3 linked regions of the Lonchura striata genome follow. The protein of the gene in region 1 purifies or fractionates together with the protein of each later gene. This does not show direct contact. Links are inferred from orthologs where the notes say so. Each region holds a gene or a part of one and is shown in the gene's direction. Other genes may lie near its edges.

Region 1 (7,912 bases):
CCCGCACCCTCCTTTCCCCCGCGCCGCGACCCCCGCGGTCCCCGGTGCGGTGCTGGTGGCTCCGTGTCCCCGAGGACCCCGAGGGGGTGGCAGCGTGTCCCACCCCCTCCTCCGGCTTCTCCCCCCCAACCCCGACACCCCTGGGTGCTGCCGGGGCTCCCCAAAACGGGGGGCGGGGGGGATGTTACATAAACACCGCGGGCTCCATTTCCCGCTGCCTCGCCAAGGCGCGATGCAGCTGATGGGCTGCGGGGACGGAGGTGGCGTTTTGGGGGGGTTCCAGAGCTGTGCCCCTCTCCCCGGCCCCAGGGGGGCTGTGTCCCTTTTGGGGGGCTCTGGAGCTGTGTCCCTACGTCCCTCTTGCTGTGTTTGTTTTGGGGGTCTCTGCCTTTTGGGGGGCTCTAGAGCTGTGTGTCCGTCTGTGCCTTTTGGGGGGCTGTGTCTGTTTTGGGGGGCTCTAGAGCTGTGTGTCCCTCTGTCCCTTTTGGGGGGCTGTGTCCTTTTTGGGGGGCTCTGGAGCTGTGTGTCCCTATGTCCTTCTTGGGGTTCTCTAGAGCTGTGAGCCACCACCCTGAACAGGAGGGGAGCTGTGTTTGTTTTGGGGGTGTCTGTGCCTTTTGGGGGGCTCTAGAGCTGTGTGTCCCTCTGTCCCTTTTGGGGCACTGTGTTTGTTTTTTGGGGCTCTAAAGCTGTGTGTCCCTCTGTCCCTTTTGGGGTGCTGTGTTTGTTTTGGGGGGGCTCTGTGCCTTTTGGGGGGCTCTAGAGCTCGGTGCACACACTTCAGGCATGAATAGGATTTGTCTTTTTTAAGGGAGTCTAGACCGGTGTCCCCCCTGTCCCTTTTGAGATTCTGTGTCTGTTTTGGGGGGCTCTAGAGTTGTGCTCCCCTGTCCCTTTTGGGGTTCTCCCAAACTGTGAACCCTCATGCTGGGCAGGAGTGAGGCTGTGTCTATTTTGGGGGGCTCTGTCTTTTTTTGGGGAGGGGCTCCAAGGCGGTGCACGCCACCTCAGGCAGGAGGTGGCTTCGTGTCTCTTGAGGGGCTGTGTCCCTTTTGGGGGCTCTGGAGCTGTGTGTCCCTCTGTCCCTTTTGGGGGTCTCTGTCCCTTTTGGGGGTCTCTGTCCCTTTTGGGGAGCTGTCCCTTTTGGGGGTCTCTAGAGCCGTGCCCTCACCCCGGGCAGGACCGGGGTCTCTGTCCCTTTTGGGGGTCTCTAGAGCTGTGTGTCCCTCTGTCCCTTTTGGGGGGCTGTGTCCCATTTGAGGGGCCGTGTCCCTTAGCCAGACCCCCTTTCCCATGTCCCTGGGGTGGGGGGGCTGAGCTGTGACCCCCCCAATTTTCCCCCAGGCTCTCCCTACTATGACAACGTGAGGCCCCTGTGCTACAGCGACTCGGACGCCGTCCTGCTCTGCTTCGACGTCAGCCGCCCCGAGACCCTCGACAGTGCGGCCAAGAAGGTGGGGAGGGGGCTCAGGCCCCGGGACAGTGTCCCCGTGGGGTTTGGGGGGCTCAGAGATGTGGGGACACCACCCTGAGGTGTCCCCGTGGGGTTTGGGGGGCTCAGAGATGTGAGGACATCAATGCAGGGGGATCTCTGTGGGGTTTTGGGTGCTCAGAGATGTGGGGACACCACCCCGAGGTGTCCCCGTGGGGTTTGGGGGGCTCCGAGATGGGAGGACACCAATGCAGGGGGATCTCTGTGGGGTTTGGGGGTTCAGGGCTGTCAGGACACTGTCCTGGGGGGTGCCTCTGTGGGGAGAGGTTTTTGGGGTTGCCCTGAGAGCAGCTGTGTGCCTCGACCCCTCAGTGGAAGACGGAAATTTTGGATTATTGCCCCAACACGCGGGTGCTGCTCATCGGCTGCAAGACGGACCTGAGGACGGACCTGAGCACGCTGCTGGAGCTCTCGCACCAGAAACAGGCGCCCGTCTCCTACGAGCAGGTTTGGGGTGTCCTGCTGGGTTTTGGGGGGGTCCCAGTGTTCGTGGGGCTCAGTTTGGGGTGTCTCGGTGTTTGTGGGATGGGTTTGGGGTGTTTGTGGGGCTCAGTTTGGGGCTGTCCCGGTGGGTTTTGGGGCTGTCCCGAGTCGGTGGGGTGGGTTTGGGGCTGTCCCAGTGGGTTTGGGGCTCAGTTTGGGGCTGTCCGGGTGGGTTTTGGGGCTGTCCCGAGTCTGTGGGGTGGGTCTGGGGCTGTCCTGGTGTGTTTTTTGGGCTGTCCTGGTGTGTTTTTGGGCTGTCCCACTGTTTTGGGGTTCACTTTGCCCCATCCCCTGCCTGCCGGGGGTGGTTCCCCACAGGGCTGCGTGGTGTGGGGTGGGTTTGGGGGCTGTCCCACTGTTTTGGGGCTCAGTTTTGGGCTGTCCTGGTGGGTTTTTTGGGCTGTCCCTGTGGGTTTTTTGGGCTGTCCTGCTGTTTTGGGGCTCACTTTGGGGCTGTCCCCATGGGTTTGGGGCTGTCCCGCTGTTTTGGGGCTCACTTTGCCCCATCCCCTGCCTGCCGGGGGTGGTTCCCCGCAGGGCTGCATGGTGTGGGGTGGGTTTGGGGGCTGTCCCACGGTTTTGGGGCTCAATTTTGGGCCGTCCTGGTGGGTTTTTTGGGCCGTCCTGGTGGGTTTTTTGGGCTGTCCTGCTGTCTTGGGGCTTACTTTGGGGCTGTCCCCATGGGTTTGGGTTTATCCTGCTGTTTTGGGGCTCACTTTGCCCCGTCCCCTGCCCGCAGGGCTGCGCGGCCGCCCGGCAGCTGGGTGCCGAGGGGTACCTGGAGTGCTCGGCCTTCACGTCGGAGAAGAGCGTGCACAGCATCTTCCGCAGCGCCTCGGGGCTCTGCCTGAGCCGAGCCCCCCGCCCGCCGCCCCGCAGCCCCCCCCGCAGCCTCTCCAAGCGCCTCCTGCACCTCCCCAGCCGCTCCGAGCTCATCTCCTCCGCCTTCAAGAAGGAAAAAGCAAAAAGCTGCTCCGTCATGTGAAGGGGGGAAAGGAATGACCCCGCTAAATACACACCACGATCACCTTTGGGACCCCCCGCTCCGCTCCCGAAGCCCCCCGAATGGGGTGGGGGGGCTGGATGGGGTTCTGGAGTCTGGAGCTCCCCCCCCCCCCACTCAAAAGGAGGGTTTGGGGGTGCTGCTATTGTCCCGCCAGCCCCACAGCCTTGGGGGCTGCCCCTGTGGGGAGGGGGTCTGGGGGGTGTCTTCACCCCGGTCTCCAACCCTGAGGGGGTCCCTGGGGGGTTTGGGGTGCCCAGACCCTCGGGGACATCAATCCTGAGGGGTTCCTGGGGGATTTGGGGCACACAGGACCCCAGAGACCTCAACCCATAGGGGTTTGGGGTACTCAGACCCTTGGGGACATTAACCCTGAGGGGTCCCTGGGGGATTTGGGGTGCCCAGACCCTTGGGGACATCAACCCCGAGGGGTCCTTGTGGGGTTTGGGGTGCCGAGACCCTCAGAGACATCAACCCATAGGGGTCCCTGGGGGGTTTGGGGTGCCCAGACCCTCAGGAACATCAAACCTGAGGGGGCCCTGGGGGGTTTGGGGTGCCCAGGACCCCAGGCACATCAACCCTGAGGGGTCCCTTGAGGGTTTGGGGTGCCCAGACCCTCGGGGACATCAACCCTGAGGGGTCCCTGGGGAATTTGGGGCACACAGGATCCCAGAGACATCAACCCATAGGGGTTTGGGGTATCCAGACCCTTGGGGACATCAACCCTGAGGGGTCCCTGGGGGTTTTGGGGCACACAGGACTCCAGAGACATCAACCCATAGGGTGCCCAGACCCCTGGGGACATCAACCAGGGGGGTCCCTGGAAGGTTTGGAGTGCCCAGACCCTTGGGGACATCAACCCTGAGGGGTCCCTGGGGGTTTTGGGGCACACAGGACCCCAGACACATCAACCAGGGGGATCCCTGGAGGGTTTGGGGTTTCCAGACCCTCAGGGACATCCACCTGGGATGGTCACTGCAGGGTTTGGGGGACGCAGGGACCCTGTCCTGGGTATGCCTGTGGGGTTTGGGGTGCACATCATGGGACTCATCCATGGACTCATCCTGTTCTCTCCCCCTTTCCCCCACCCCTCATCTGCTGCTTGGCCCTGGGGGACCCTGTGGGTTGGGGAGGGGGGTGGGGGGCTGTTTTATGGACTGTCTTTGGGGGGGGGGGGTGTCTCTGTTCCATGTCAGTGTTATTAAAAAGCTTATTTATTATCAGAAATATAACACCTACCTATGTGCAGCCCTGCCTGGCCCTGTGCTTTGGGGAGGGATTCTGCTTTTTGGAGGCTGTTGGGACTTTCGGGATGTGTCGGTGTCACTGGTGATGGTGACACCGACATGGGGCTGTGCTGTCACCCCTGGGTGCTGGTGCAGAAGGCAGAATCCCTGGCTGGGTGTCTTTGGTGGGGGGGGGTTGGTGCCAAAAGGGTCCCCCCACCTCTCCTGCCCCCAGACTCCACCTGGGACCCCCCTGTGTTGTGCATGGGGACGCAGTGGGGGTCTGGGGCTCCTGCAGGGACTCTGATTCGGGGGTCCCCGGCCAGTCTGGGGCGCACAGGGCTGGGGGGGTCCCCGTGGGATTTGGGGTGCGCAGGGACATGGGGGACACTGACTCGGGAGGGGCCCACCCAGGATTTGGGGTGCTCTGGGACCTCACTTGGGTGAGCAGGAGGTGCCTGCGGGGGGGCTCGGGGACACGGGGACACCGTCCCGGGGGACTCTTTGCCATGGGGAGGGGGGCGCTGCCGCGCGGCGGAAGGATCACGGAGCGCGGCGGTACTGCGACCGCGCAGGGGCGCTGAGGCTGCCGGGAGCTGTAGTCCAAAAGCGCGGAGGCTGCCGGGAGTCGTAGTCCAAGGGCGCAGAGGCTGCCGGGAGTCGTAGTCCAAGGGCGCGGGGGCTGCCGGGCGCTGTAGTCCCGCGCCGTCCCGGCGTGCCCCGCGGGCGCGGCAGACATGGCGGCGGAGCGGCGGCGCTGAACCCGGGGCCGCGGCGGTGAGCGGGGACCGGCGGGAGCGAGCGAGGGGCATTGCGGGAACCTCCTGGGGGCCCAGGCGGCCGGAGAGCCCTGCAGCAGCGGCACCGGGCACCGCCCCGCTGCTGGGCACCGGCGGCAGGGCCTGGAGCGCCGTTGCGCCGCGTCCCCCGGGCCGGCCGGAGCCTTTCCGGGGCTCCCCGGGACTCCCCGCACCCACCCCCCCCGGGGCTCCCTCTGCCCTCTCGGGGTCCCCCCTTCCCTCTGCGTTCTCTCCTCGGGGCCCCCCAGCCCTTCCCGCTCCTTGCTGGGGTCCCTCTGTTCCGTCTCCCAGGTTCGCCACTCTCACCGGTGCATCCCCCGGTCCTCCCGGTGCATCCCCCGGTCCTCCCGGTACATTCCCCGGTCCTCCCGGTACATTCCCCGGTCCTCCCGGTGCATCCCCCGGCCCTCCCGGTGCATCCCCGGCCCTCCCGGTGCATCCCCGGCCCTCCCGGTGCATCCCCCGGCCCTCCCGGTGCATCCCCCGGCCCTCCCGGTGCGTCCCCCGGCCCTCCCGGTGCGTCCCCGACCCTCCCGGTGCGTCCCCGACCCTCCCGGTGCGTCCCCCGGCCCTCCCGGTGCGTCCCCGACCCTCCCGGTGCATCCCCCCGCAGATGGCCGGAGAACTGGCGGACAAGAAGGATCGGGATTCATCCCCGGTGAAGGAGGAACGGAAACGCTCCCGCTCCCCTGAACGGGACCGGGAGCGGGAGCGGGACCGGAAAAGCTCCCCCGCCAAGGAGCGGAAGCGGCACCGATCCCGGGAGCGGCGGCGGAGCCGTTCCCGTTCCCGTTCCCGCTCCAAATCCACCGAGAGGTGAGGCAGCCCCGGGGCTTCGAAGGCTTCGGCAACGGGAAAGGAAAGCGGGAGGAGAAACGTTCTGATTATTCTTGTTTTTTCTTTTAATTAAAAAAATATTTATTTAATTTAAAAAAAATCATTTTTTTAATTAAAAAATGAATTTTTTAATTGAAAAAATCAAATTTTTATTGAAAAAATTAATAAGCTTTTTAAATACCTTTTTAAAGAGGACACAAAGAAAAAACTAATAACGGTATTTTATTTTAAAACTAGCTTCCCTTTTAAAGTTTGAGGCTGCCTCCCAACCCTGCCTCCCAGCAGGAATTGGGGATGGGGAGTGATAGTAAAAGGGTTTTAAAATCGTGGGGATTTAGGGTTAAAAGGAAAAATCAGCTTAGTAAGTCCTGGAAAAATAAATTCCTTAAGCACATGGAGAACTCGGACTTGCTACAACTGCACTGTGTAGCTAGGACATGCTAATTGAAATATTGTTAGATGTGATGATTGTTTAGTAATTAAATATAATTATTGTTTAATCATAAGAATAATCATGAGAAACTGTGGTCAGTGAGCTAAGAAAGATGATGAGAAACTCATGTCAGTGTGTACAACAGAACAATATAAGTTTAATAATTAATATGTGAGTTATGTAACGATAAAAGCACCTGCAGATAATGATATCCTGTGATTATTTGTGTTCTTAAACAATGTATTAATATGCAAATTAATATCTAAGTTATAGAAGGATAGAATATAATATATATTCAGGTCAAAATGGGTGTCGGAGTCAGATTTGGGTCTGTACCCCTGATTCCCAGAGCTCTTAATAGAAGCACCTGCAGATAATGATATCCTGTGATTATTTGTGTTCCTAAACAATGTAAATTTAATAATTAATATGCAAACTAATATCTAAGTTATATAGGATAGAATATAAAATATGTTCAGCTCAAAATGGGTGTCGGAGTCAGATTTGGGTTTGTACCCCAACTCCCAGAGCCCTTAATAAAAGCACCTGCAGATAATGATATCCTGTGATTATTTGTGTTCCTAAACAATGTATTAATATGCAAATTAATATCTAAGTTATATAAGGATAGAATATAAAATATGTTCAGCTTGAAATGGGTGTTGGAGTCGGATTTGGGGCTGTACCCCTGATTCCCAGAGCCCTTAATAAAAATACCTGCAGGTAATGATATCCTGTGATTATTTGTGTTCCTAAACAATGTAAATGTAATAATTAATATGCAAATTAATGTCTAAGTTATAGAAGGATAGAATATAAAATACATTCAGCTCAAAATGGGTGTCGGAGTCAGATTTGGGGCTGTACCCCTGACTCCAAGCTCTTAATAAAAGCACTGCAAATAATGATATCCTGTGATTCTGTGTGCTCCTGCACGCTGGCAGGAGCACTGAGCCCACCCCGCTCACTGCTGCATTGGCCAGGAAATCTCCAAACGAGCCACATCTCAGCTGTTTGAACCCAAACCTCTGCCCGGCCCCCCAAAACCCCAGAAGGGGGGTGTGAGGGCTGTGGGGCCGGGCTCTGATCCCCCATCCCGCAGGGATCGGCGGCACAAGGAGCGCGACCGGGACCGCGGCAAGAAGGAGCGGGACAGGGACAAGGATGGGCACCGGCGGGACAAGGACCGCAAGCGCTCCAGGTGGGTCCTGCCCGTTTCTTTGAGGGGTTCCTGCTCTCCCCTAAACCCCCTGGAGGTTGGAGATCCCTCAGGGCTGTGCTTGGTGGTGTCTCTTATTCCATGCTGTTTTCCTTGGAAGTTTGTCCCCGGGCAGGGGGAAGGACTCCAAGTCGCGGAAGGAGCGGGAGGCCCGGAAAGCAGAGGAAGAGGAGGAAAATGCCTTGAAGAAGGAGAAGGTGGGGAGGGTGTGGCAGTGGCTCCAGGAGGGCCCTGGGGAGTGGTTCCAGGGGATTCCAGGAGCGGTGCTGATGTCTGGCCTCTCTTGCAGGCGCAGCCGCTGTCCTTGGAGGAGCTGCTGGCAAAGAAGAAGGCAGAAGAGGAGGCAGAAGCCAAGGTGGGAGAAGGAACAGGAGCCTCTTCCCTCTTCTGGGGGTGTGGATGTTTGTGGGGATGCTGCA
Region 2 (7,467 bases), on another chromosome or scaffold:
CCTTGAGGTAATCAGAGGTTGTCGAAGCTGTAACTAAGAGTTGCAATATTCTCTCAAGAGGGAATAAATGCAGCCAGCTCTCCCATGGCAGAGCTGTTGATGGTGGAGGTTTCTGCAGAGGAAAGCACCCCCACTGCTGGATGGGGCCGCACCCTCCTGTGCCTGCCAGCTCCGCTTGCCGGGCTCAGGGATGAAGGATGTGTTGGTGGCTGTGCTCACATTCCTGCTCTGAACCACTGTTTCCTTTGCTGGGCATGACAGCACGGCCCTTCCAGTTAGGGGAAGAAAAAAAGGTGAGTCTTTCAATAATCTCAATTCACTGTGGGGGTTGTGGTAGGGCTGGGAACTGTGGCTGCACCAGTGGAATGACAACCCCGAGGGAGGAAACATCTGCCACCAGTGAGTGCCGAACCGGAGAGGGAAACAATGACCTACCTGACCAGCTCTTGAGTAAGCTGTCAACACAGGCTAGGAACCCCAAGTCCCATAAGTACCACGCTGTGCACCTGAACTAGATAAAGGCTGCATATTTTTCCTGACCACTCCTCAGTTTCAGCCTGGGGAGCATCACATTGCCTTGCACAGGGCATTACCTAAGCAATGGGATGCAGAAGTGCTGTTCGGGGCGACTCCTTCAGCTGACCTCTGGCAGCCTGATGCTTTCACTTCAGTGCTCAGAGACCTGGAGCAAATAGAAAACACCTCCCAGGTGCTAAAACTGCTGCATAACTGAAACCCACCTTGTTTTCACACTTGCAGACACATTAGAGGGTATAAAAACTTTGCAACCACTGTGAACTGCCTGGTGTTTCTCACTGGATTTAGATGACCCAGCTCAAGAGCTAATGGTTGGAAGTAACACTTCTAATTACAGTTTAATTACACCTTTTACATTTTTTTTTTACTTTTTTTTTTTTTTTTAAGTGTTTCTTGGCCCTGCTTTGCTAGGGCATTCCCTCATGCCAGAACACAGCTTTGCTGAGTACTGAGAGGTGTTGGTGTTGGGCCAGGCGAGATGGCATGCACACAACACCCTGCCTGCTGACTGCCAGCAAACTGCTGAGATTTCCTCCGGCAAGGATTCATGCTGTTAATGCAAGGCTCAGTGTTGGTTGATGTTGCTCCCACAGCTCTTGTTGGAACAAGAGATCTGGGGAGTTTTAGGGTTCTGTGGGGTTTTTTTGTTAATGCTAACTTCAAGGTCACTGATTCCAGTGACCTTTTTCAGCCTTTCATTGCATATTTTTTTTTAGTATCAGGCACTTTGGGACAGGGATAGGGAAAAGGAAAAAGCAGCAAGATTGGGAGAAAGGTTTTCTTGGTGCAAATATTCTGTAGTTAAATCAAAATGAACAGACACCCCCAACTGTTTTTGTTTCTTTTAAACAACTGGAGTAATTGCAGAGAGTATTAATTTTGCTCATAAAGGATTTTCCCTCCCACACATGCAATATCTCTAACAAAAAAAAAAATAAAGGGTTGTGGTGTGTCCCTGCAGGTCCTCTATAGGCTGGCAATAACATTGTTATTGTGAAGAATAGAGTTGATAAAGACCTTCATAGCCTGCCTGCATGCATTAAAACTCACTCCACGGGAACTAATTTTATGTAGTTACCTTAGGGGAAAATAGCACCAACATGGGTAAACAGCACTGGAATAAATCTAATCTGCTTGCAGGACCGAATGAAAGTACAAAGTAAAACAGGTAAGCAAAGCTTAATGTAGAAGAGAGGTGGTATCAAACACTGAATTCTGAAAACCCACCCCACAAGGGATTTCAAAGCCGTTTGTAGGGTATCATTCTGGCAAATGGGAGAGGACAACTCATTTATTTTCTTCAGGCTGTACCAGTCTGGCTTGGTGTGACTGCCTTCTCCCAGCAGAGAAGGCTGCAGTGGTCATGACTCTGCTGTTCCTTTCTGCCTGCAGGAAAATACTCCTTTCCCACCCCACCTCCCCTCAAGAGCTCCAGCATCAGCTGCATGTGGCCACATCTGAGTAACCCCCACATTCCTTCCAGATGCAGGAGATGTTGAAAAAATGCATCTTGCTGCTCTATCTGGCTTTCAGGATCTGGGTGGCTGTTGGGGAATAATGGCCTGCTGCTTTCCTATAGCCCTGAGGAGAGGGACCAGTGGTCTCTACCCCACACACCTACCCCAGGCTCCGAGGGCAGGAGCAGCAGCAGGAGCCTGCCAGGGAGCAGTGGAAACATTTACTGGACGGGCCAAAGGAGAGATTTATTTGCAGGAAAGGAGCAGGAGGCGCCTACGATGGGGCTGAGGCTGCTGTGCATTTTCACATGCCACCCCCACACACAGGGCTTCCTGCAGACACATGGAGCCATCCCTGCAAATGAGCCGCCCCTCAGAGCCTGCACGCTGGATACAGCCTGCTCATTTGGATGATGGCCTGTCCTGCAGCCCAGTTCCACCTTCCAGCCCCCTCTTCAAGCCACTCAGTTCAGTCCAGCAAGGGGAAAACACTTTCCCATCTGTTGGTCTTCAGACTCTGACTCATTATTTTTATTTCAGCTGTCGCCAAGCAATAGCGAAAGTCCCAACACAGCAGCATTTCCACTGCTGCAAGCTGCCTTGTCCTCAGCCACCGGAGAATGAGCAGCTCAGCCTCAGCTCTCCGCTGCGTGCGATGCCAAATATCACAGAATCTGTCACAGAATAGGCTGAGCTGGAAGGGATACACCAGGATCATCAAGTTCAACTCCTAAGTAAATGGTGATCAAACCCACAGCCTTGGGTTTTGGTAGCACCATGCTCTAACCAGCTGAGCTAATTTCATGACTAAAAAAACAGGAAGGAAGGAAAGAGTACATTCAGGTTTCTTAGTCATCAATACACACAGCATCCAGGCAAAGAGTGAGAACTTGTAGCCTCTGGAAAGGGAGACATGGAGCTGGTCCCTGGAAGCACCCACATCCACAGGTGACAGGGACACTGGAGGCGGTGTTGCCCCTTCCTGCCCCTTTAAATCTCTCATCTAACAAAGAACCAAGACTCAAAACAAGACAGGATCTGCAACAGTCTGTTGTACCCGGTCTCCTCTCTTACAGAAATGGGATGTGCCACGGCTTACTCCACATCCTTTTTCTGCCTGCTCCTTATTAACTCAGAGACTCTCCTGCTGTCTCCCCATCACTCTAGACTGTTACACAGCACTAGCAGCCTTTACCCAGGCTTACTCTTCCTTTTGTTTGCCCGCTTACTGCTCCCCTCCTTTCCATTCCTGCTCACCTACGTCAAGACTCATGTTTTCCTTTCCTCCCTCCATCTGGATACCCACTTGAATGCCTGTGACCGTACTACCATATGTATATATATAAAAAAATACAGGATCACCAAATGGGGAAACACCTCTAGAGCTGCTCTGAAACTACTGCATGACTCCAGCTAGACAGGAGGCATTTTGCAATAACCTCATCACTGCTGCCAAGTGTGTTCCAAACACAGACCTCGTGTCATAAATTACTGTAATTAGCAACACTCCAGCAGGCAAAAGTATGTATTTAAAAACGAAGGATGCACATGAAGTGACTGCAGTTTATATTATGTGTGAGTCACGGCGAGGCAGAGCTTGAAGGGAGCCAGTGAAGCTCCTGCAGCCACAGCATTGTCTGGCACAATCCTTTCCAGCACAGCAAACCTTTTCCTAAACACAGGGAAAACAAGCTGAATAGTGAAGCCTCTTGGGAAATGTATTTGCGCTGAAAATTTCAACTTTTTTTGCTGAAATAAGGGGAAAAACAAAAATCTAGTCTCTTTGGCCGGCGCCAATAAAACATTTTCAGACAGAGCCCCACTTCTTGACACACGCGCAAAAAATGTTCCTCTGGGACGGAAAATGGAAACTTTTTTATTTGGATGGATAGTGGTTTTATGCCTCAAGTGACTTCGGGTTTTCTGGTTTGAGAATAAACACGTAAGAGAGAGGAAAAACAACAACAACAACAACAAAAAAAGAAACCAAACAAAGCAAACAGAAAACTTCGGATGTGTTCGTGGTGGCCAAGCCCTGCTGTTCCGATGAGAACAAAAGCTGTGACATGGGTTTTTTTCTAGACTGCGACTGCGGAAGGCGGCGGCGGTGCCGTGTCCGCCCCTCACGGCGCCGGGGCGGCCCCGCGGCTCTCCGGGGTGCACGGGCGAGCCCCGCACCGAGCCCCGCACCGAGCCCCGCACCGAGCTCCGCACCGAGCCCCGCACCGAGCACCGGGCCCCGGGCCCCGAGCAGGGCCCGCACAGGCTGCGAAATGTCGGCGCCGCGGTGCGCCCTGGGAGCTGTAGTCCCGCCGCGCAGCGCCGCCTCGCCCCGCTCCCCGGCTCGCAAAATGTCCTCCGCCGAGGCGAGACGGCCGCCTACAACTCCCAGCAGCCCCGAGAGAGGCGGGGCGGGGAGGCGCCGGCCCTTTCCGCGCCGCGCTGCCCGCCGGGAGCTGTAGTCCTGCCGCCGCCGTGGCCGCCCCGTGGAGCAGGGCAGAGGGACTCGGTGTCCCGGCGCGCCGCGGGCCGTGGGCGGAGGTGGGCAAGGCGGGCGGCTGCTGTGGAAGTGTGGGGCTGTGCGGTGTCGGGGTACGGGGGCTCCCCCTTCCATTCCCCCCTCCCTTCGCCTCCCCGGCGGTTCGCGCTGCGTGCCCGGGCGGGTGGCGGTGGCCGGGGCGCAGGGCCAGCGAGGGCCGCGTGTGGGGCGGGCGGTTCGCATCCAGCAGCATCCCGGGCCGCGAAGCGCTCTGGGGCCGGGACGGGCAGCACAGCCGGGGCCGCACCATCACCGTGCCCAGCGGCCGGTGCTCTTTTCCCTGTTCCTCTTCGCTGTTCCTCGGCGCGGGGGCCTGCGGATCCCCGTCCCGAGGGGCTGTGTGGGCTTTGGCGCGGCCCGTGGTCGCGGTTTGCGGTGTCTGAGGTCTCCGTCCTCCGCACAGAGCAGCGCCAGGATGGAGGAGCCCGCTGGGATCGTTCCCATCCGGAGGGACGTCATGCTGCCCGAGTCGTGCTGTGATCGCGTCACCGTAACACACCTGTGAGTGGGTCTGGTGTGCTGTAAGGGCCGGCATGTTTGGCCACCAACTTTGTTAAGGCCAAAACATCTCCTTAGGAGCAGAATTTCTCCTTTCTGTGTAAGTGCCCTCAGACAAGACATGGCCCTGATGATCACTTCTATTGCCATCTGAAAACAGCTATTTTATTTAATTGTGCACTTCGAGGCCTTTTCTGAGTTGTAGTCATTACTTTTCATATGTTCCAAAACTAAGCAGAAGGCTGTATCATTTTAAGAAGATTATTTCCCACTAGGAGTTACATGGAGGGCAGTGTTTTCAAAAGTAGCCATCAGATCCTTTCTGTCAAAGACAGCCAAACTTGACATGGAACATAGCACTCCTCAAAAGGTCTCTGTGTTTTGTGATTCATAACAATCTGGCCCTAAATTTGAACGTGACGTTTCTTTGAAAACAAAAGTCTCTGTTACCCATGGTCTTAATACTTAGCAGCACTTAATGTTTACAATGCATAACTATTATTTTTGTATCTTAGCTGCATTTAATACTGTTTATTTACTCTTTTGCACATGCAAATTACAGCTTGATTTTTTTTAAAACCTCCCTTCTGTTCTACAGGATAAAGTTGGCAGTGTGAATGTGAAGGCTGGGTAAATATACTGGTGCCTATGTTATTAGGCTGTGTGCTGTTCTTCTGCCAAAAATTCAGTAATATCTACAGACTTTTATACCACTATGAGTTTGTGTCAGATTTAGAACCCAGTTCTGCAGCTTTGGATAATTCAGGGGGACAGAATTATTTTTAAAACTACATTTCCAGTATCATGATGGAAATGTTTATTTTCTAGGGTGGAAGTGCTGAGATCTTTGGTGGCTTTAACTGACCCTCAGGAGGGAAAGCTGACTCAGTCTCAAGAGAAAGTGAGTGACTAACAGACTGTCCATGTCTGTTTACTGCATCGTTACAGAAGAGCCTATAATTAGGTAGTCAAGCTTATTCTAATAATATGTTAGAACTGTTTCCATAATTCACGTGAGCTGAACCAAAATGTGTGTGTGCACCAGCTCTGTTTCCAATTGCCCAGCAAGTGGTAGCTGGGTCATCGACCGCCAGAATTCAGCGAGATTCCCTTCAAGCAGGTGGCACTGTCAGGTGTTCCAGCTGCTCCTGGAAGTCAGGCTTCAAATCATGCTGTCATTTACTGACTGAAGGGCCAGCTCTTGCAGGCCTGTGGTTGCAATCTCTCCTAGTTTCCATGTGTGAGCCTGGTATGTGTAATTAGATTTCTTAATCCAATGGGATTGATTTCTTGAGCTGGCTGGTTTTCCAATTCCTGGAATCTAGTAATGACTTAAGAGAATAAAACCAAAGGAAGGAGTGGAGTTTGTATTTTATGCCACATTTAAGCAGGCTTAAAACAGCGGCCCTTTTATTTTTGTCATCTGTCACTGATGGCTGTTGGGACAGCAGGTACAGTGCTAATGCAGTAAGGGTTGTACTGGCCACAGGCAAGTGTGAGAAATTGGATGTGTTTTTGTGGATTTTTACAGTGTGAGTAAACACAGTGTAATATGCAGAGTCTTGGAAGATGTACAAGACAGGGATTCAGATTAACTCAAGAGCTTTATGTTCATCTTTTAGTAATTGCATCTGATGCAACCTGTAATGAAATTTGGTAGCATTACTTTCAATTACTTCATATTCTTCTATTCAGTCTTGTGTAAATCTTTAATTTTAATGTGCATTCATTCCTTAAATAATGCTTTCATTTGAAGCAAAATTGCTTGGGAATCCCTAAAGCACAGCTAACTGTTATATTGCAGTTATAATTACTTTGCATGACACAGAGTGATGGTCTCATTCTTGGTTCTCATTTCACAGTTAAGTTTTTATGCTCCTTTGTATTCTAGGCACTAAATTTGCTGGGCATTTGGAAAAGCGTATTTAGAGTTGTTCCTGGGCCTACATCAAAGACCTCAGTGGAGTGACAGCTTGAAGATGGGAGACCAGGAGGCAGGTGAACCTTTTCTGGGGATAGTGGCTGATGGTGGCAAAGACTACGAAGGAGCTCTGCCCTCAGACACGGTGTCACTCAGCGATTCTGACTCTGATGACTTGGGGCTGGTGGGTGAAGCAGAAGTTGATACAATATCTCCTGAGGAGCCATCTGTAGATGAAGGGGATTTCAGATCAGGAGAGACACCCGACTCTTCAAACAGCGGTCACAGATCTCCTGTCCAGCCGTTCCATCTGAAGGGCATGAGTTCTACCTTCTCTCTCCGTAGCCAGAGCATTTTTGATTGCCTGGAAGAGGCAGCCAAGCTGTCTGTGCCCTCAATGGCTGAAGATAACATTGTTGATGGGAGGTTTAAGCGTCCATTGCCTCCGACCACAGTTTCAGGTAACATGGTCCCAGAAAACTTGGGAAGGCAAGCCAGAGCAGTGCAGGCTCCCA
Region 3 (7,833 bases), on another chromosome or scaffold:
TCCATTTCTTTATCATATGAAGGTTCTGATGGGCAGCTTTTAAGCCTGGAAAAGCGACCAGTAATGCAGCTGGGAAGGTCATGAGAGGCTGGTGGAGCTGCCTCATCCTGTCCCACAGTACAAACAAGTCCAGACATTCCTGCATCCCATAGGATCCACCCAGTTTTAGTGGAATGGCTTAAAGTGAGGGAGCAGCAGCTCCCCTCATGTCCTTCATGCACCAACACCACCCCAGTGCCTGAATTCCTGCCAATAACCAGAGCTCCTGCTAACTAAATGTAAACTGTGGCCCCAAGTGTTTGCAAAGTTTCTATCCAGTGCCTTCATCCAAAGAGGAGCCTCCATGGACTGGCACTCCATGACTTGGTCCTTTCTATCTGCCTTGCACAGGAATCCTGACCAACATGTTCCTGGAAGCCAACATCTATATTCAAACCTGGAGAACAGGGGAGAAGGAGCCTTCATGCTGGATTTGTCAGCAAGACATAGACATCCTGGCTGCAATGTTCATGGCAAGAGACAAAAATTTTTAAAAAAGGAATAGCAAATATATTATATATATATATACATACATACATATATATATATAAAAACAGGAAACAAAATGCATCCTTGCACTGCTGCTATATGCTGGAAACAAATAGCAAACAACACCACCAACAAACAAAGGCAACCCTCTGCAGATAAATTGAAGAATTTCGTGGATTGGTGATCAAATCAGATTTAAAAAGTCGTAATAATAACCATAATCTTGGTAACAATACAATAAGCCACCATCTTGCATGTTACATGAAAGGACACACAATCATGAGTTCATTTGTTGCACACTGAATGGAAAGGAAAACTGCTTTGCAACAAAGCAAGTAAGCAAACTGAAGTTAAAAACCACAAGCAGAAGCAAAACCATTCCCCACCTCTGGAAAGAAGAGAGAAAAACATTGAAGTTATGACCTTAGAGTTATTTTCCAATTCACAAGTGTCATTTCGCCCTTCTCCTCATTCCATGCTGGTTTTTTGCATTTTTGGGGGGGTTCTGTTAACTTTTCCCCTTCCCTTCCTTATCTTCTCTGTGCACTTGTCCAACCTCTTGTTCTCTGAAGGTATTTAGGAATTGGTTTCATTTCAAACAAAAGCAAATGATATGTACATGGTTTCTCATCTCTAACGAGCAGCCTGTGGGGTTTCATATGGATGTGCATTTCAGTTCTGTATATTATTCTATATAACGGAGGGGGAGGGAGGGAACAATGCTGAAATAATTCAACAGTGATGGTACAGACGGTGCCAACATTTTGAAATTGTTAACTCATGGATTGACTGTGGTTGGGGTACTTGGAGACCCAGATCACACATGGGACTCTGAGTCCCACAAGAAGGAATGGGAAAGGTTTTGGCTGCTGCTGGCTGGGGGGAGGGGAGGGGGCAAAGGACAGGAATGTCCTGCCGGTGGTCTGCAGTGTGTGGTGGCGAGGTTTGGAGGGGCACGGAAGGCTCCAGCTCCAGCCGTAGGCACGATGGGCTCCCAGCCCCCGAGCCAGAGCTGCCCCCAGGGTCAGCGGGGAGCGAGACGGGAGCCGCAGGGCTCGGGGCTCCCTGCAGGAGCCCTGCGGTAGTGGGGTGGCTTTGCTTTGCTTCTGGTTCCCAGTAGGGCAGGTTCTTGAGTTTTTTTGTAGGGTCAAAGGCAGAGGGGCTGTTTGTGCCCTGCCTCCCCCACTACCAGGGGTGTGATGGCAGAGGGCTGGGGACAGCGCTGGCAGGGCCGTGGCAGTGCTCCCCTGTCTGCCTGGGGATGGGCAGGGCAGGGAGCGTGCTGTGTCCATCCCTGCAGAGTGTCCCCAGCGTTCCAGGCTGGATGGGAGAGCCCAGGAGGCGTCAGTGGGGCTGCTCCCAGCTCGGCCTTCAGCCACAGGCTCCCTCCAGGGCTGCCTTTGGAAGGGGATCGTGGGCCAAGCCCAGGGCCCCATACACTGTGAACCAGGCAGTTCAGGTAGGCTCCCAACCAAAACCAGAAAGGAAAGGAAAGAAATGGGTTTCCTTCTTGGAATTGTTTCTAGCTCCTGCAGAAACCGAAGGAGCCATGATTCTGCACCATTTTGCCTTTAGTCTCCCACCCCTCACACAGGCTGTGCCCAGGACCAGGTGTGTTCTGCCAGGCCTTGCCAGGGCTCACAGGATGCCCGAGCAGGAGCTCCTGAGCCATGAGGATGCCGTGGGCAGACCCTGCTCCCACCTGCGCTGTCCCAGGAGGGAGCTGCTCCCTGGCAGCTGCTCACCAGTGAGTCTGTTCTCCTGGCAGAGAGGCTTCTCCTGCAAGGCATGGAAGGCAAGAGCACAGGGGCTGCTGCCAGTGCCCATCCCCAGCTGCCAGCCACGTGTCTCCAGAGAGCACAGCCCCAGCCTAGCAGCACTTAGGGCAGTTGCAAAGAGGCTCCTTTTCTCTCGTTTGTTTTCCCAATGCAGCCCAGCCAGCTGTGCCCAGCAGAGGCACTGCCAGAAGTGGCAGAGGGCCGGGGTCTGCCCCGTGCTGGCGTTCACCAGTACATGTCACAATTCAGGGCCAGGGGAGCCCACCTGGCTGGGGCCCCTCGCCAGCCCACCCGAGGCCGCTGTGACCCTGCAGAGTTGCTTCTGGTGTTGTGCCCAGCGTGGGAAGCCAAGGCTCCCATGGGATTGAGTAGACTGAGGCTCCCTGTGCACTTGGGCTGAGGGAGTTCTGTTTGCAGTGAGCAGCCCCTGGCTCCCACAGCGTGTTCATCAGTGGCACTGTCCAAACCTTTTTTTTTTTTTTTTTTCTTAAAAGAAAATAATAAAAGCAAAGAAAAAAAGCTCACTGCTTGTTCTCCTGGTGACTTGCAGCTTTCTGCTGCTCAGCCCCAGCCTGCCCATCACCACTCTCTGTTCTGGATAGCTGGTCACTGCTTTTTTTCTTCCAGGGGCCATTTCTGTGGAAAGGGGTGGAAGACATGAGTGCCTGTTTTTACCCAATCCCACAAATTCATTCTGAACCTGGCCTGCAATTGCATGAGTAATAACAGTAACAATAATAATAATAATAATAATAATAATATTTATTTTTATTTGAGAAGCACCTTACCAACCAACTGCAACGCTCTGTTGTTCCTTCACTAACTCTCCTTTTCTCTTCCCTTGTTCTCCCTCACCCCCTTTGGTCATACTCCTTTTCAGTGCTCAGTGGTGTATGCGTGTGTGCTCACTGTTCTTGTATTCAATAAAAGTGAAATAAATGTGTTTGATGCTAAATCAGCCTGGGGCCTCGGTTAACTCTTTCCTGTTGAGAGGATGGAGACGTGAAGAGGGAACCTTGCAACAGGGAGCACTGCACATGGAAATACCAGGCTTTGTCTAAAGAGAAGATTGTAGAAATCACAGAATCCCAGAATGGTTTGGGCTGGAAGGGAATATAAAGCTCATCGTGTTCTATCCCCTGCCACAGACAGGGTCACCTTTGACTAGACCAGGGTGCTCCAAACCCAATCCAGGCTAGCCTTCAACAATTCCAGGGATCCAGGGGCAGCCACATCTGCTCTGGCCGACCTGTACCAAGGCCTCCACACCCTCACAGGGAAGAATTCCCTCCCAATATCCCATCTAACCCTGCCCTCTGGCAGTGGGAAGTCATTCCCTATGTCCTGGCATTCCAGGCCCTTGTCCCAGGTCCTTCTCCAGCTCTCCTGGAGGCCCTTTAGGCCCTGCAAGGGGCTCTGAGCTCTCCCTGGAGCCTTTAATTTTCCAGCTGAGCACCCCTGGCTCTCCCAGCCTGCCTCCAGAGCAGAGGGCTCCAGCCCATTTGAGCATCTCCATGGCCACCTCCGGACTCATTCCAACATCTCTGCGCCCCTCCAGCGTGAGCTGGACGCAGTTCTGCAGGTGGGCTCTCAGCACACCAAGGGCAGATGATGTTGCCAGGTCGGGAATTGCGGCTGGTGGAGCCGGGAGCGGCTTCGTGTGGCAGGTGCTGAGCCTCGGGCTTGTGAGAATGCTCGGGGTGCGGGAGGCAGAGGGAGCTGCCCATCCCTGGGGACCCCGGCCCTGTCTTGTCCTGGAAGGGAGGACGTGGTGCTGGGACGGTGTCTGTGTCACAGTGAGGGTCTCAGTGTCTGTCCCGGGGGCCTCTCGCTCCATCAGTCCCAGGCACGGCTCTTGTCCGTCTGTCCCGCTGCGGGGCTGGGAGCACGGGGGGCCCAGGGGAATGGCAGGCAGCTGGAGGGACTGGCGACCGGTTTGGGGGACAGCGGGTCAGCGGGGGCAGCCGCCAGCCACGGAGAGGCAGAAGGGAGCAGCGGCGGGCCGGGGGCTGAGGCTGGCCGGCGGGGACAGGGACGGAGCGGCACCGATCGGGAGCAGTTCCCGCAGGCGGGCCGGGGCCGGGGCCGGGGCCGGGGGGCCGGGGCCGGGGGGCCGGGGCCGGGGGGCCGGGGCCGGGGCCGGGGGGCCGGGGCCGGGGCCGGGGCCGGGGGGCCGGGGCCGGGGCCGGGGCCGGGGCCGGGGCCGGCGGGCCGGGGCCGGGGGGCCGGGGCCGGGGCCGGCGGGCCGGGGCCGGGGCCGGGGCCGGGGCCGGGGCCGGGGCCGGGGCCGGGGCCGGGGGGCCGGGGCCGGGGCCGGGGGGCCGGGGCCGGGGCCGGGGGGCCGGGGCCGGGGCCGGGGGGCCGGGGCCGGGGGGCCGGGGCCGGGGCCGGGGCCGGGGCCGGGGCCGGGCGGCGCGGAGGCTCCTCCCGCGCCGGGCCCGGATGTCCGGGCAGCGCCGCCGCTCTCGGTGCGGCCCGGCATGGCGGCTCTGCGGCCGGACCCCGAGCTGGCCCGGCAGCTCTTCTTCGAGGGCGCGGCCGTGGTGGTGCTGGACGTGCCCGAGGGCACCGAGTTCGGCATCGACTACAGCGCGTGGGCCGTGGGGCCGCGGTTCCGCGGCGTGAAGATGGTGCCGCCGGGGCTGCACTTCGTGCACTGCAGCGCGGCCGGCGCCGGCGGGCGGGACGCGGGGCCGCGCTCCGGCCGCTTCCTCAGCCTGCGGCGCCGCGAGGTGCGGGTGCTGCGCTGGGACCCCGCGGGCGAGGCCGTGCGGCCCGAGCCGCCCGAGCAGGGCGAGGCGCTGCGGGACAGCCTGCGGGAGCTGGACCCCTTCCTGGGGCCCTACCCCTACGAGACGCTGAAGAAGTGGGTGTCGCTGAGCAGCTTCATCAGCGAGGCGGCGGCCGAGGAGCTGCAGCCCGAGAGCGGCCAGATCTGCGCCTTCGCCGAGGTGCTGCCCGAGGCGGCGGGGCGGCACACGCGGGACCGCGCCGGGCAGCGCCGGCCGCCGCTGGGCGCCCAGTGCCGCAGCTACGCCGAGGGGCTGGCCCGCCTGCCCCGCATGCGGCCGCGGGCCGGCACCCAGATCCGCTTCTCCGAGCTGCCCCGGCAGGCCTTCCCCGACGGAGCCACCCCCGAGGAGATCACCCGGCACAGCATGGACCTGAGCTACGCCCTGCAGCGGGTGATGGAGCAGCGCTACCCCGGCCGGCCGCTGGGCCTGCTCGGTGAGCGCCCGGGAAATGGCATTCCTGTGCTCCAGGTGGGACCTCTGCCGGTTCCCTGGCGCGCCGAGGGCTCTGCGGCGCAGGACAGAAGTTTGGGCAGTTTCTGGCATTGCCTGCAGGAGACTGAGGCCGGAGCTGCAGCTCCTCCCGAGGGGCAGCTGCCATCTCTCTTCTGTGTGACCAGGGAGAGCACCCGAGGGCCTTCAGGGGAAGTTTAGCTTGGATATTAGGAAAAGGTTCTCCCCCCAGAGGTGCTGGCACTGCCCAGGCTCCCCAGGGGATGGGCACGGCCCCAAGAGCTCCAGGAGCATTGGGGCAGCGCTGCCAGGGGTGCCCAGGACGGGGTTGTCGGGGGGTCTGGGCAGGGACGGGGGCTGGGCTGGGTGATTCTTGTGGGTCCCTCCGGACTCAGGATATTCTGTAATTCTGTTCTATGGCTCTGGTGTGGGAACGTGGTGCTGCAGCCCTGATTGCCCCGATGAAGTCAAAAGCAGCCGTCACAAGTGGCCCTGGCACCTTAGCTGTTCAGGGAACATCGTGAGGACATCTCTTACGGAGTCCTGAGAGCACCGAGTGGGGATGGGCACCCCCGGCCCCTTCTTCCTGCTAGGTTGGGCAGGAGCTGTGGGCCTGGTGGTTCCTACTGCAGGGCCCGGCCCCTCCTGGCCGTGCTCCGTGTGCTGCTGGTGGCAGTGACAGTGACAGTGGCAGTGTCCAGGCTGTGCCAGCCCTGCTGTGGGGGCACCACACCTCCCGGAGCTCAGCTGTTCTCCAGCCTGCTTTGCAGCCTGTGATACAAATAAATGCTGGGTTTGTGGAGGTCCTAGAGCAGGGTTTTGTTTTGTTGCAGGATGGAGGGAGAAGCCCTCCCAGGTTTGGAATAAGCCTTCGTTTGTCCCTTCTTCCATTTTTTTTGTACATTAACATTATACAATTTATTCTTCTTCAAAATTACCAAAGACAACTGTAGGATGTAGAGAGAACAAATTGCCTTAGGGAATGGTGGGAAAACAGCTGATACCAAGCATCCAGTGTGATGAACCCTGGCTCTTAATTCAGCAAGACAAACACACTCGTTGAGGCACTGCTGATCTCTCCCAGAATTCCAGGACAGTGCTGTTTGCAGTCCCATGTTGTGCTGGACACTCAGCACTGGCAGGCTGGACACTCAAAGTATAATAGCAGGGTCTGCCTTGATGTTTGGGGCTGTTTGGTGTTGTTTGCTGTCTGTAGAGTCCTTCTCCAGTGCTGATAATCACAGTTACAGGTGACCTGCCCCGTTCTGCTTTGTTTTGCTCCAGCTGAAGAGCAGTACAGGGTCAGTGTTTGAGTATGCACTTGAGGAATGCACTTTGCAAAAGCCAAACCAGAGTTTAGAAACCATTTGCAGAGCTTTGTGTATGACACATTCACAGGATATCTGTTTAGTCTTACATGTTTTGTTTTGTTTCCCTTCTCTGAACCCACACAGCTGAGTTGCAGTTTGCCTTCATTTGCTTCCTGATTGGGAATGTGTACGATGCCTTTGAGCACTGGAAGAGGCTCCTGAACATCCTGTGCCGCTCAGAGGAGGCCATAGGGAAGTACCAAGACCTTTACATCAACCTCATTTCCGTGCTCTATCACCAGCTCAACGAGATCCCAGCAGATTTTTTTGTGGACATTGTCTCCCAGGACAACTTCTTAACCAGCACCTTACAGGTGTGTTTGTGGCTGTTCCCTGGGAAGTTGAGTGGGAGGGAAGGCAGTGTCAAATTTGGGGTGAAACTGCCAAAGGAATTAAGCTGCATGGGAGACAGGAACCTGTCTGAGCACACAGGGGTTATTTTGACTTTTTCCCTCTGTTATTCAGTAAGAAATTCAGCTCAACAGCTACAAGAGAGGCTGGGCAAGTGCAGTGTGGTGTCTGTTTGTTTAATTTTTCCAGAATGCCTTTCATTCTTGAAAAGAAAAAACAACAACAAACCTTTGGCATGAAGGACTGATGATGCTGATTTTTGGAATGGTGTGCTCAGTGTGCAGGGAAGCTGCAGCAAAGCCTTAGTGAGCTAAGGGCAGTGATAGTGTTTAAGCAGCTTTTCCATTCCTTAGCACAGCTGAGGATTTCCTGTAGTCAGGTTCTTCTCCAGAGGGAATTTATGGTTATTCCAAAATGCAAAAGATGCTGCTTCTGCTGAGACAGGTGGGGCAGATGTGTAGCTCAGCCCCAGTGAAAGCAGTTGCTCCACTACTGGTGACAGTGCTGGCAGTGCAGCAAACTGGCTTAGTTTACATAAAAAGCCCATATCAGACACCCTGA

What was found.
Region 2: the proteins of DDX23 (region 1) and TSSC4 purify together in Homo sapiens (affinity purification with mass spectrometry; 3 studies listed by BioGRID and IntAct, with this or other methods). This does not show direct contact. The link is inferred for Lonchura striata from reciprocal best matches to the Homo sapiens genes DDX23 and TSSC4.
Region 3: the proteins of DDX23 (region 1) and AAR2 purify together in Homo sapiens (affinity purification with mass spectrometry; 3 studies listed by BioGRID and IntAct, counting the BioPlex papers as one, with this or other methods). This does not show direct contact. The link is inferred for Lonchura striata from reciprocal best matches to the Homo sapiens genes DDX23 and AAR2.

Annotation. Positions count from the first base shown.
Region 1 is NC_134629.1:6,086,606-6,094,517, forward strand, and holds the start of DDX23 (putative ATP-dependent RNA helicase DDX23), read left to right. Parts: upstream 1-4,901; 5' UTR 4,902-4,981; intron 4,982-5,617; coding exon 5,618-5,820; intron 5,821-7,376; coding exon 7,377-7,475; intron 7,476-7,593; coding exon 7,594-7,690; intron 7,691-7,782; coding exon 7,783-7,848; intron 7,849-7,912. Other genes in the region: RND1 (rho-related GTP-binding protein Rho6), read left to right, coding at 1,345-1,454, 1,805-1,939, 2,715-2,960. UniProt on the Homo sapiens protein: Involved in pre-mRNA splicing and its phosphorylated form (by SRPK2) is required for spliceosomal B complex formation.
Region 2 is NC_134608.1:47,077,441-47,084,907, forward strand, and holds the start of TSSC4 (U5 small nuclear ribonucleoprotein TSSC4), read left to right. Parts: upstream 1-4,407; 5' UTR 4,408-4,535; exon of another isoform or gene 4,536-4,586; intron 4,587-4,936; exon of another isoform or gene 4,937-5,131; intron 5,132-5,859; exon of another isoform or gene 5,860-5,932; intron 5,933-6,922; 5' UTR 6,923-7,010; coding exon 7,011-7,467. UniProt on the Homo sapiens protein: Protein associated with the U5 snRNP, during its maturation and its post-splicing recycling and which is required for spliceosomal tri-snRNP complex assembly in the nucleus.
Region 3 is NC_134619.1:13,898,749-13,906,581, forward strand, and holds the start of AAR2 (protein AAR2 homolog), read left to right. Parts: upstream 1-4,766; 5' UTR 4,767-4,786; coding exon 4,787-5,534; intron 5,535-7,005; coding exon 7,006-7,235; intron 7,236-7,833. Other genes in the region: EPB41L1 (band 4.1-like protein 1), read left to right, coding at 391-399. UniProt on the Homo sapiens protein: Component of the U5 snRNP complex that is required for spliceosome assembly and for pre-mRNA splicing.